Caenorhabditis elegans: one gene and its partner. The protein of the gene in region 2 purifies or fractionates together with the protein of the main gene of each other region. This does not show direct contact. Each region holds a gene or a part of one and is shown on either strand. Other genes may lie near its edges. The genes, in order: C15F1.2 and T28B8.4.

Region 1 (5,273 bases), on a different chromosome or scaffold from region 2:
TCTTCCAATCGAGAGAAGCTCTAGTTGTCATACAGCTCGACTGATTTCATATATTCCTCGAGAACGCGCGCACCTCTTGCCCTTTTGGTGTAGTGGTTAAGCGCACGGTCTTCAGATACAGTCATTGCTGGTTCAAATCTGGATAGGTTCGGTTTTCTTTTACATCGGTAAGTGTCCTGATATAAGCTTTCAATGTGTTTTTTGGATCACGAAATTCTCTTGAGAGCTCTTGTCAGCATACGCATATTCAAAACGTCAGCATAAGCATATTTCAAAGGTTTCAGCATAGGATAGTTGGCAATGAGATTTTGCAATAAAATGTGTCCAACTGAAATGTTGTTGGCGATAGTGTCAAAAACATTTGGTTTTTTTAGGTTTCAATGTTTTTTTTTCGATTTATGAAAAAAAATCCAAAGGGTACCCCTTAGAAAAATTTTCTAAATTTTTTTTTGAAAACTTTTTTTGAAAACTTTTCAAAATTTGATCAGATGTTATAGAAAAATGCAATGTTTGTTTTTTATCTAGTTTAGATGTTCTGAACACGAATTCAGACTAAAACCTGAGGTATAGTAGAACCTCAGAATTCAAAAAACGCACTCACTTCGGATGCTGATATCTCCGTGTAATAATGTTTTATGACAAAGTGATCAACTACAAAGTTGTTTATCTTAACATAAAGTACAATTTTGCAGTTGATCGTTTTTTATCAAAAAATTGGTTGGATGAGATATGAACAGAAAAAGAAGAAGAAAATACAAGCATGAAGGTGCCAAACTTTACACAACTTTATCTCGACCAACAAATTTTTTGATAAAAAACAATCAACTACAAAGTTGTACTTTAGATTAAGATATATAACTTTGTAGTTAATCACTTTGCCATAAATTTTTTTTCCACGGAGATATCAGCATCCGAAGTGAGTGCGTTTTTTGAGCTTAGGGGTTCTACTATGCCTCAGGTTTTCGTCTGCAATAGTGTGCAGAACATCCAAACTAGAAAAACGACAAAAATTGCACTTTTCTATAATATCTGATCAAATTTTGAAAAGTTTTCAAAAAAATAAATTTTGGAAAATTTTATTAGATAGAGGTAGTCAAAGAGCATTTATACATCAGATCTCATCTCCATTTTTTTCCGGAATTTTAGGAAATGAGAAAGAGCACGACCTTCTTAGACATCAAAAAGTAAAATGTTATTGACAAATCTGATTTTTCAGCGAAAAAAAACTGAGAATTCTGAAAAATTAGGTAAAGGTAGTCAATGAGCAAAGGTAGTCAATGAGCCGAAGGGTAGTCAATGAGCAAAAGGTAGTCAAAGATCCGAAAGGTATTCAAAGATCTAAGATAGTCAAAGAGCAAAAGGTAGTCAAAGAGCCGAAAGGTAGTCAAAGATCTAAGGTAGTCAAAGAGCAAAAGGTAGTCAAAGAGCAAAGGTAGTCAAAGAGTGTTTGCCAAATATTTTGTCTTCCTTTTGCATTATTTTTCATTGCAAAGTGACAATTATTTGCTGAGTTACACAGAGTCAAAGCCATTTTACCAAAAATCGCACAAAATTTTGAAAACTGTTCTGCCGTACCAGTCATAACCCTGCATTCATTAAATTTCAGAAGGAAAATTTTAATGGATAGTAAGTGAAAAATATTTCTCCAAATTTTCTCAATTATAAGTTTTTTCATATTTTCATGTTCAGCCAAGTTACAGACCGTTCTTCGAAAAAATCCAATTTCGCTCATAAAACTCTTCATATCCAACGTATCGACTTGAAATTTGGGAAAATGATCACTTTTTTGAGGTCTCTACAAAGTCCTAAAAAATCTTTCAAAAAATCCTGTTAATCTCCAAAATCGTCCTCCGCTCCGAAAAATGAAATCGGATGTTTGCCTTTCGGAAAATGACCAAAAAATGAAATTGGGATATTGGGGTCGAAAAATATGTTTTTAGAATGCTGAAAACACGTTATTTACGAATTTCATGTTCATTTTCCATGAATTTTTGTTTTAAATGACCTGAAATTAAAAGATGAATCTAATTTTCATTATCACGTGACATTTATTATTTGCTTAAAAGCAACTAGTTTTCAACAGTTTTTAGACAAAGAATACGGTTTTATTCACGTGAGAATAAAAATAAGGTTCATGCTTCAATTTCAGCTCTTTTCAAAAAATAAATTATCAGAAATGAACATAGGATATTCATAAATACCGGGTTTTCAGTTTTCTAAAATATAAGTAAACATTCTGTAATCAACTTTTGCTTAACTTTCAAAATAAAGGAATGATTCAAAGATATGGATGACGCTGCTCATTTATCTGCATTTTGCGTGCAAAGTAGACTTTGAATAAGCCGTGTGTAAATCTTAAATAAATCTTCAAATAAATAACTTACTTTTCAATACTCGGACAACACTTTGCTACTTCTCCACATTGTCTTTCAATTCTTCGTTTCACTCCAGTGAAACAATGATTTGGAACATACGTGATAGTTCTACTGAAAGAGAATCTTGCAGGACGACCCAGAATTTGACATTGCTCATTCTGAAACTTTAGTTTATTATCCCATAATTCCTTTTTAATGAGTCATAGACAATCCCGAGACTTTTTCTTCCCAATCTTAATATCTGTAGATCAAGTCGATTAGGGTCATTGTCTCCGCTTTCTTCCCTTCCACCCCTTTTTCCCGTTTTCTCACCGTTTTCTTGTCAAGTGGTTGAACATTTTCGTTTAAACATGCAATCAGCTGACCGTCAAGCTCTTCTTCTAACCGTTCCAACTGAAATTATTGAGAAGTTCAGATGACCCTAGATTTAAAAGTTCCAGTAACTTACAGTATTATAATCATTTTTAAGTTTATGATGGCAGTCATAAGTATCCCTTCTTTCTGGAAGCCAATAAGGTCTCCATAGAGAATTTCCTAAACAAAGACGTTCTTCAAGAAGGGATACTGCTGCACATTCTACGAAAGCAGCACAATAATTTGATGATGGAGCAGGAGATGATGGATCTGGTGACTGAAATTTTAAGGGAATGAGGAATTGATTTATGAAACTAAATCAAAAGATTTAGCATTTAAAAGTCAATAATACTCTATTGGAAAATTAATTAGACTGATCGTAAAATATTTTCGAAAATATATAAATATATATAAACATATCTCACCTCATATTGTGCAAAAATCGATTGAAACAAAACTAGAAGAAAGAAAAGAAAAATCCGCATTTAGAAACGATTGACTGAAGACTCTGGATGTCTGCGAAAGGATTATAGGGCCACTGAAAGAAAAGATTGGGAGTAGAGAAAGGAACAAAAGTGAAAAGGTTTCTTGTAGGAAAAACTGTGAAAAGTGAGAAAATGTCATCGAGAATGAAAGTATTGCTCTCACTTTGATTTATATCAATTGGGTCTCAATGGATCGGAACATGAATCGGAATAATCGAAGCGTGTGAAAGTGAGAAATGGGGGAGGATGTAGGTGCGTGAAGGTCGTAGACAATTTTCAATTTTATAATAGGCGACAATTAGCTCTTTGCCAATCTTCGAATTTGCCAAATTGAAAAATTATTAATGGAAGTGAAAAGTCTACCAGAAAAATGTTCGAGAAAGAAAACAAAAAAAAACTTGCCCTTAAATGTACGTTTTGCGCGGAATTTGGAATTTGGAACTCGGAATTTTGCACAACTGTTTAAAAAAATAGAATTCTACTTATGTTTCTGACAAGCAACACTTTTTGATAAAACCATTTTTTTTAAACAAGATGTACATTGTCATAGTTGAGATTGAGCAGTTATAAAAAACAATGTATACATATATATAAACTTATATAAAACCAAAACTAAAGCTTTTTTGGTATACACAGTTTCCAATAACATGGTTAATATGAAAGTCATACAACCAAAAATAAAAAAGAAGAAAAAATAGCGATAAGATGGTTTCGCTTCGTTTCGGACCGGATAATGCACCCAACTGTTCATTTTTGTGGGTGAAGGTCGATTTGCTTAATACCCGACAAAAATGGAGAGAGAGAAGAGAAAATGACCCTCCTGGGGATTTTTTCATTCCGAGAAGATACCAATGTGTCGACCTCTTTAACAAAAAAAAGAGAGAGAGAGAGATGAGAAAACAGCTTATCCATCCGAGACGACACGAGACATACAATTGAAAGGTAAGGATGACGAGAACCGAAAAAACTGTTTAATACGAGCGAATATTACATACGCTTATTTACGAGCCGTCGTTATCGCCCGCTCCAATTTGATGCGGATGCGAATTGACACCAATTTCGAAATGAACGGATATTCAAAAAACTGGCAGAAGGAAAATGGGGGAAGAAGGAGAAGTCAATATGAATTTATACAGTTCACATATTGCAATTAGGACGGTTTTTAGTCATATTTCCCGAACTGGGTTGAAAATGATTTCATTTTTATTGTGGCAGTCTTCAATCGCGGAGAAGTTGTTTAGCTTTAACAAAATTTCAACTAATTCGTTTTCAAATAAAATCATATAAATATCGATGTGCATCTACCCAAAAGAGTGGTTTAACAAAGTCACAGGAAATTGATTTATTTGAATAAAAAAACAGTTATTCAAAAGAAATATATCTTGAACCATGAACTGCAACATAAATTACTGCCCAGTCAGCATCATCTACAAAAATCATGGTTGCATTCATTCCTTGAGAAAAGTGAATGTCGATGCCACCGAAAAAAGTATGCTTAATTTTATTCTCGCATGTATATTTAAAATTGTAAGAAATTCAAGTTCTGGTTTCAGACCGGCCGTCCAATGTCTTAGAAACAAATTTATATCCTTATCAGTTGAAAGTGAATTGTATGTGTGAAGGGATGAGCAACTTGTAAGCAACAGATCATTCAATGGAATTCCGATAAGTAATTTGAGTTCTCTGAAATTCCGGGGCAGAATTCGACGTTGAGCTAATAATTGTGCGGAGCTCAATGGCAGATATATTTCTCCTTCCAGAATAAGGCAATCAACAACACACACACACACACAACATTGATGATAGTAATCGTATTCTGCATTTGATTATCTAATTCAATCGTGATTTCTGAGATTCTTAGGCCTTCTAGGCATTCCTTCAATATTTCCAATCGCGACTCATCGAGTTTCCTATTCCGGAAATGAAAGTCTAGATCAATTTTCGATGGATTGAAGATATGAAGAAAATTATTCAATCAACTCCTCTCATCGAACTTTGCACTGCGACTTTTTTCGAACGAGGGACGAGACAAAAAGGTTTCTAGGCCATGGCCGAGTCT
Region 2 (4,941 bases):
AAAATATAAAGTTGTTTCTTGTTAAAAATGTAAACCTGTTAGAAGAAGTTTCAACTTTTTCAGAATGAATTCAGCATAGCGTCGGAATTCTTTTCCACATGTCCAAACGGCACTGCTTATCAACATTGATAGAGTCTCTGTTGCCAGATAGCTTGTGAATTCAGATGTAGAAATATAAACCAAAAGTCGGTCGAATAGACGCTAAAAATATACAGAGTTTCACAAAGAAAACATTTTTATAATCTACCTTTCTCATCTTATCATCAACTCGATCAAAGACAACTCGAACCAAACTGCTGATTCCACCTGTCAAAGCCATCTCATCATCGCCATGCTTCTGATATTCCAATGATAAACTAACTCCGCCAGTTGAATCGGAAGTGTTGGGTGCTTCGACTGACAAGCAAGTGATCACTTCGAGAAGCTTCTCAAGAGTATGCTCAACAAGAGATGGTACACGTTTTGATAGAAGGCATATCAATCGATCGTCATTCGACATTTTTTCTTCATGAAATTTAATAGCTGCTGAGAAATCCATTAATGGAAAAGATGAGAACAAGATTTCCAAAGTCTTGAGCACAAATTTTGTTCGATCCACATCATTTACATTGATCTGATTCACAAAAATCTCCAAAATGTAAAATGCATGAGCACGGAGACTTGTGAATTTATGGGTTTTAACCATCGGAACTTCGCTACCAAGATGAAAAGTTGGCCATGATTTTCGCTCTTCTTCCATATAAATCAACCATTTTGAGTCATAGACTATATTACGTGGAGTACGGTACTCTGCATCTGGTGTACGAATAATCTCATAAACAAAAAAAGTGAATGCTTCAATAAGAGTTGTCAATCGATGAGGTTCACTAACTGCGGTGAGGGAGGAATAAAGACTGAAATAATATACTTACTGGACATGTTTCAAATAGAGTACCGTTATACTTACTGATTGAGTAACTTTGGAGCCACGTATTCGCGATTAACAGTTGTTAGAAGTTTGATCAGCTTATAATCCTGGAAAATAAATCGATCGATAGAATAATCAAACTACAAACAAAGAGCATGTTCTGTGCTTGTGCAGTACATTCTGATTTTCAGTTATGATGAGGCAGACATAAATGCATAACCCTTTTAAATTTGGGATTTCTTAGGTACGTCCATTAGGAGCCTATTTTTGCAAAATTTTTACAAGCCCGGATTTTCTACAGTTTCAAACATTTCAAATTGTTGATCTTATTTCAGAGTGAATGCCTGAAAATCAAAAGACTCACATTTTGGTCGTTAAACATGAGCATAATGGCAAGATCTGTAACCGACTCGGTGATTTCATCAATATCAGAGTCTTTCAAATAATACTCCTTTGAACAATTTCTTTTCTTCCAACTCAAGCGCTCCGTATTCAATCGTTCTTTAATAGATGACATGAAGTATACAAGAAAACAGCTAATTTGATTCGTGTGATCGCCAAAGTTCAGTGGATGAACGTTAAATGAAATATATCGCATTAGACGTTGGAAATGAGCGAGTGACCTAAATGTTTTTAAACTTGAAACTTTTAATAGCAGACAAATCTTACGAGTTCGGACCACCAATCGTATATGCACATAGAGCTGCCAAATGAGCAGAAGAGCCGTTCTCTTGTCCATCACCAACCTCCAATTTTCCTTCTCGTACAGTCAAGTTGAGACCACGAATCATTTTTGTGTACAGCACATCGTAGTAAGGACTCAAATCGAATGCTCCCGGTGCGGACATGCTCATTCTGAACATAAAGACATGAAAGACACTACAGAGGTTAAAAAATGATTGATAGAAAAGTGCAACGTTTCATAATCTGATAACTCACTCAAGAATATAATCAAGACAGTAAGCAGTCCATGATGTATTCATTTCAGCTTTCAGATACATTTCCCATAATTCCTTGATCCACGTGTTTACCGCATACTTTTTGATATCCTGAAAAGTTGACATATTTTGTGACTCTTTTTTAAAGTGAAATGGAAAATTCTATTCGATAATTCGCAATTTTCGTATAATGCCTTTTTAAGCACAATGAAACGAGCGGCACGAAAACAACCATATTGGACTATCTATGCTCCGCCCATAAATTCGTTTAAAGTTCTATTATATTTTTCGCCCGCAAACTCACCTCTTCTGTCATTCCACAAGTCGAGAGAAACATCCAACAGAATCCAATGAACATTTCGGTCTGAGCCTGATTTCCAATTGAAATTTCTTGTATAAGCTTTTCCCATATTGCTTGATGTTCTGATGGATCATAGAACATGGCAAAATAATTGATTGATTGATTACAATAAAGAGCTATATCCGGCTTAATCTTATTATGAACTACTTGATTGTAAAGTTGATAAAGTGGACACCAATTCAATGTAAGGTCCCTCCATCCAAACGTTCCTGGTTTCACAAGATTCATCATTTCAACAAATGCACCACAAGCACTTCTAATCATATCGTGATGTTGATGTTCTTTAATCAATACTTCGTAAAATAATCGAACGAGATTCAGAAATTTTTCTCTAGACATTCGAAGTCCAAACTGTCGAATGTGAGTTTGGAACATTTCTCTGTATTGTTCAATTTCAATCGTATTCTCAGTCAAAAATCCAGCCATCATGCCATTGACAATGTCATCGAAGTTTGTGTCAACTTCTGATTCAAGTCTGAAAATAGTTTTCTTGAATTATTTGGTTACAAAGCAACTAAAACACGTTGACAATACCCCTGTGACGCGTATCAGTTCGTCGACAAATTCAACTTACTCTTCAAAATATGGCAAGAAAATTGACTGCTTCGATGGTCTCACATAATCTTTCGCCATCAATTTTTTCAAATTATCTCCAGCATTCACAGAGACCGGCTCTGGATTGTCTCTAACCTGAAATGTTCAACAAAAGATTGTAAAAGATTAAAAAAACATATATATATATATATATATATATATATATATATATATATATATATATATATATATATATATATATATAATTTACTCACCTTTACCATTGCCCGAAAACAGTGCAATAAAACCGCGGATAAATTGTTGAAATATTGAAAAATGACTAATATTTATTTTTACAGAAAAAGCACGTCAGAGTTTAATGAAAAGGAAAAGGTCAAAAATAACATACCGTATTTCCTCTATTAATAAGGCATGCAAAACTAATTTCCGGACACCTAATTTGATGCAAAACTAATGGAGGTGCAAAACTAATAGAGGGTGCAAAACTAATTTTCGAACAGGTTTTTTCTCATGTTTTCCCTTAAATTATGACATAATATCATCAATTTCAATAACAACTTATGAACCAAAATGGACGAATTTTACGACTGATAGGCAACAATTGTCCGAGTTGTTCTCATATTTTGCCAATTTTGACTAGTTATACCAAGTCTGTAAGAGTTTTCCTAATTATTAGAACGATTTTATAATGCAAATTTTGAATTCCTAAAATTAGGGAACAAATGAAGGGTTGCAAAACTATTAGAGGTGCAAAACTAAAAGAGAGTACAAAACTAAATTTCGATGAGTGATTTTAGATGCAAAACTAATGGAAGTGCAAAACTAATAGAGGTGCCTAACTAATAGAGGAAATACGGTATGAGGTTCAATGTCACGTTGGTAATATTTATGTTCAAGGTGTCGGCATTTTGGCGTTTGATGGTTTTGGGTCGGGCGGCGGTGTTTATTGTTGTTGTTGCTTTGTGCCATTATTCAATTTCTCAAAAATAATTCATTTTTTCAATAAAATCGAGATCATACGGTCGTTACATCATTTCTATTCTCATGCATAATACGCCGGGGCAGTTGTGTTTTCAATGTCAAACGTCAGTGCGTCTCCCAATATTTTTTTTGTTTCCTCCCAATCATCACGGTGTTGACGGCGGAACTCTCGCACTGTTTCCGTCATCGTTTTCTGAAAGTACTTTGTTATGTAAGTTCAGAAAATTCAAGGTTTTTAGTGAACTCTCTCACTTTCACAACTGCTTGATTTGAACTCGACGAGCTCAGAAGACTCAATGGCTTTATGATGTTAGTTGGCAGGAAAAATGGGAAGGCCAGTACAAATGCTCCAAGAGCTAATGATGCACCATGAGCACGTGCTTCTAGTTCCGTTTCTGATTGAAGAATATTCGCGAGTTTATCAATTTTTTGATCCGAAAATTGAATATATGAGCAATGAATAAATAGTAGAAGACATTTCGCAGCCTCCTTTCGAACCGAGATCTAAAATAGTAAATCATTGAACTCTTTGCATTTTTCAAACGTTTTTCTCACCTCGCGATCATAAACTGCACGGAACAGAAGTTTTTCAATATCATCTCGTCTTGATTGTTGGCTCATCGGGAAAATATTCGAGTAGACAGCTGCTTGAACAAACTTGATGACAGCCAGTCTAACATGCCACGAATTCGAGTGAAATGTCTGAAAAACATGTTACAATTTAAAATCGGAATTTTCCCGAAATATTTTAATTTAATCCTGAACAATACAGAGACTACGAGTTGCACAAATTGCGTCCCAACTGTAACAAAACGTACCGTTCCCAATGCTTTCAAGATTTCATCCAAAAACATATGACTAATCCAAGAAACTGACATGTAGTCATGAATAATCAGGGCAGAGTTCTGAGTAATATCCACGTCACGATATGTTTCTTCTGACAGATCATAGTCATCTTCATTGGCATATTCCATTAGTTTTGGAAGTAACTTAACAAGAATTGGTGACCAACTTTTAGTTGAAGAACCATAATGTTGAGTAATCGTTTGAAGAAGGACACGGAAATATGTCATTGACTGGAAATTATTATGCATCCGTGTATAAATTGTATCCATTCCACTTACTTTTATATCCTCTAAATCAATTGCTGAACTTCTTCTACGACTCATTTTTCCGGTTGGCGGGTTGAGATCTAAATG

What was found.
Region 1: the proteins of T28B8.4 (region 2) and C15F1.2 fractionate together in Caenorhabditis elegans (co-fractionation; one large-scale study listed by BioGRID). This does not show direct contact.

The regions. Positions count from the first base shown.
Region 1 is NC_003280.10:6,977,947-6,983,219, reverse strand, and holds the start of C15F1.2 (uncharacterized protein), read right to left. Parts: upstream 3,268-5,273; 5' UTR 3,215-3,267; coding exon 3,155-3,214; intron 3,007-3,154; coding exon 2,824-3,006; intron 2,769-2,823; coding exon 2,688-2,768; intron 2,534-2,687; coding exon 2,385-2,533; intron 1-2,384.
Region 2 is NC_003279.8:8,158,595-8,163,535, reverse strand, and holds the start of T28B8.4 (Proteasome activator complex subunit 4), read right to left. Parts: upstream 3,069-4,941; 5' UTR 3,025-3,068; coding exon 3,016-3,024; intron 3,010-3,015; exon of another isoform or gene 2,932-3,009; intron 2,897-2,931; coding exon 2,781-2,896; intron 2,682-2,780; coding exon 2,150-2,681; intron 1,957-2,149; coding exon 1,847-1,956; intron 1,763-1,846; coding exon 1,577-1,762; intron 1,531-1,576; coding exon 1,272-1,530; intron 1,015-1,271; coding exon 947-1,014; intron 894-946; coding exon 248-893; intron 202-247; coding exon 36-201; intron 1-35. Other genes in the region: T28B8.3 (DUF3437 domain-containing protein), read right to left, coding at 3,804-3,935, 3,995-4,246, 4,298-4,444, 4,561-4,941.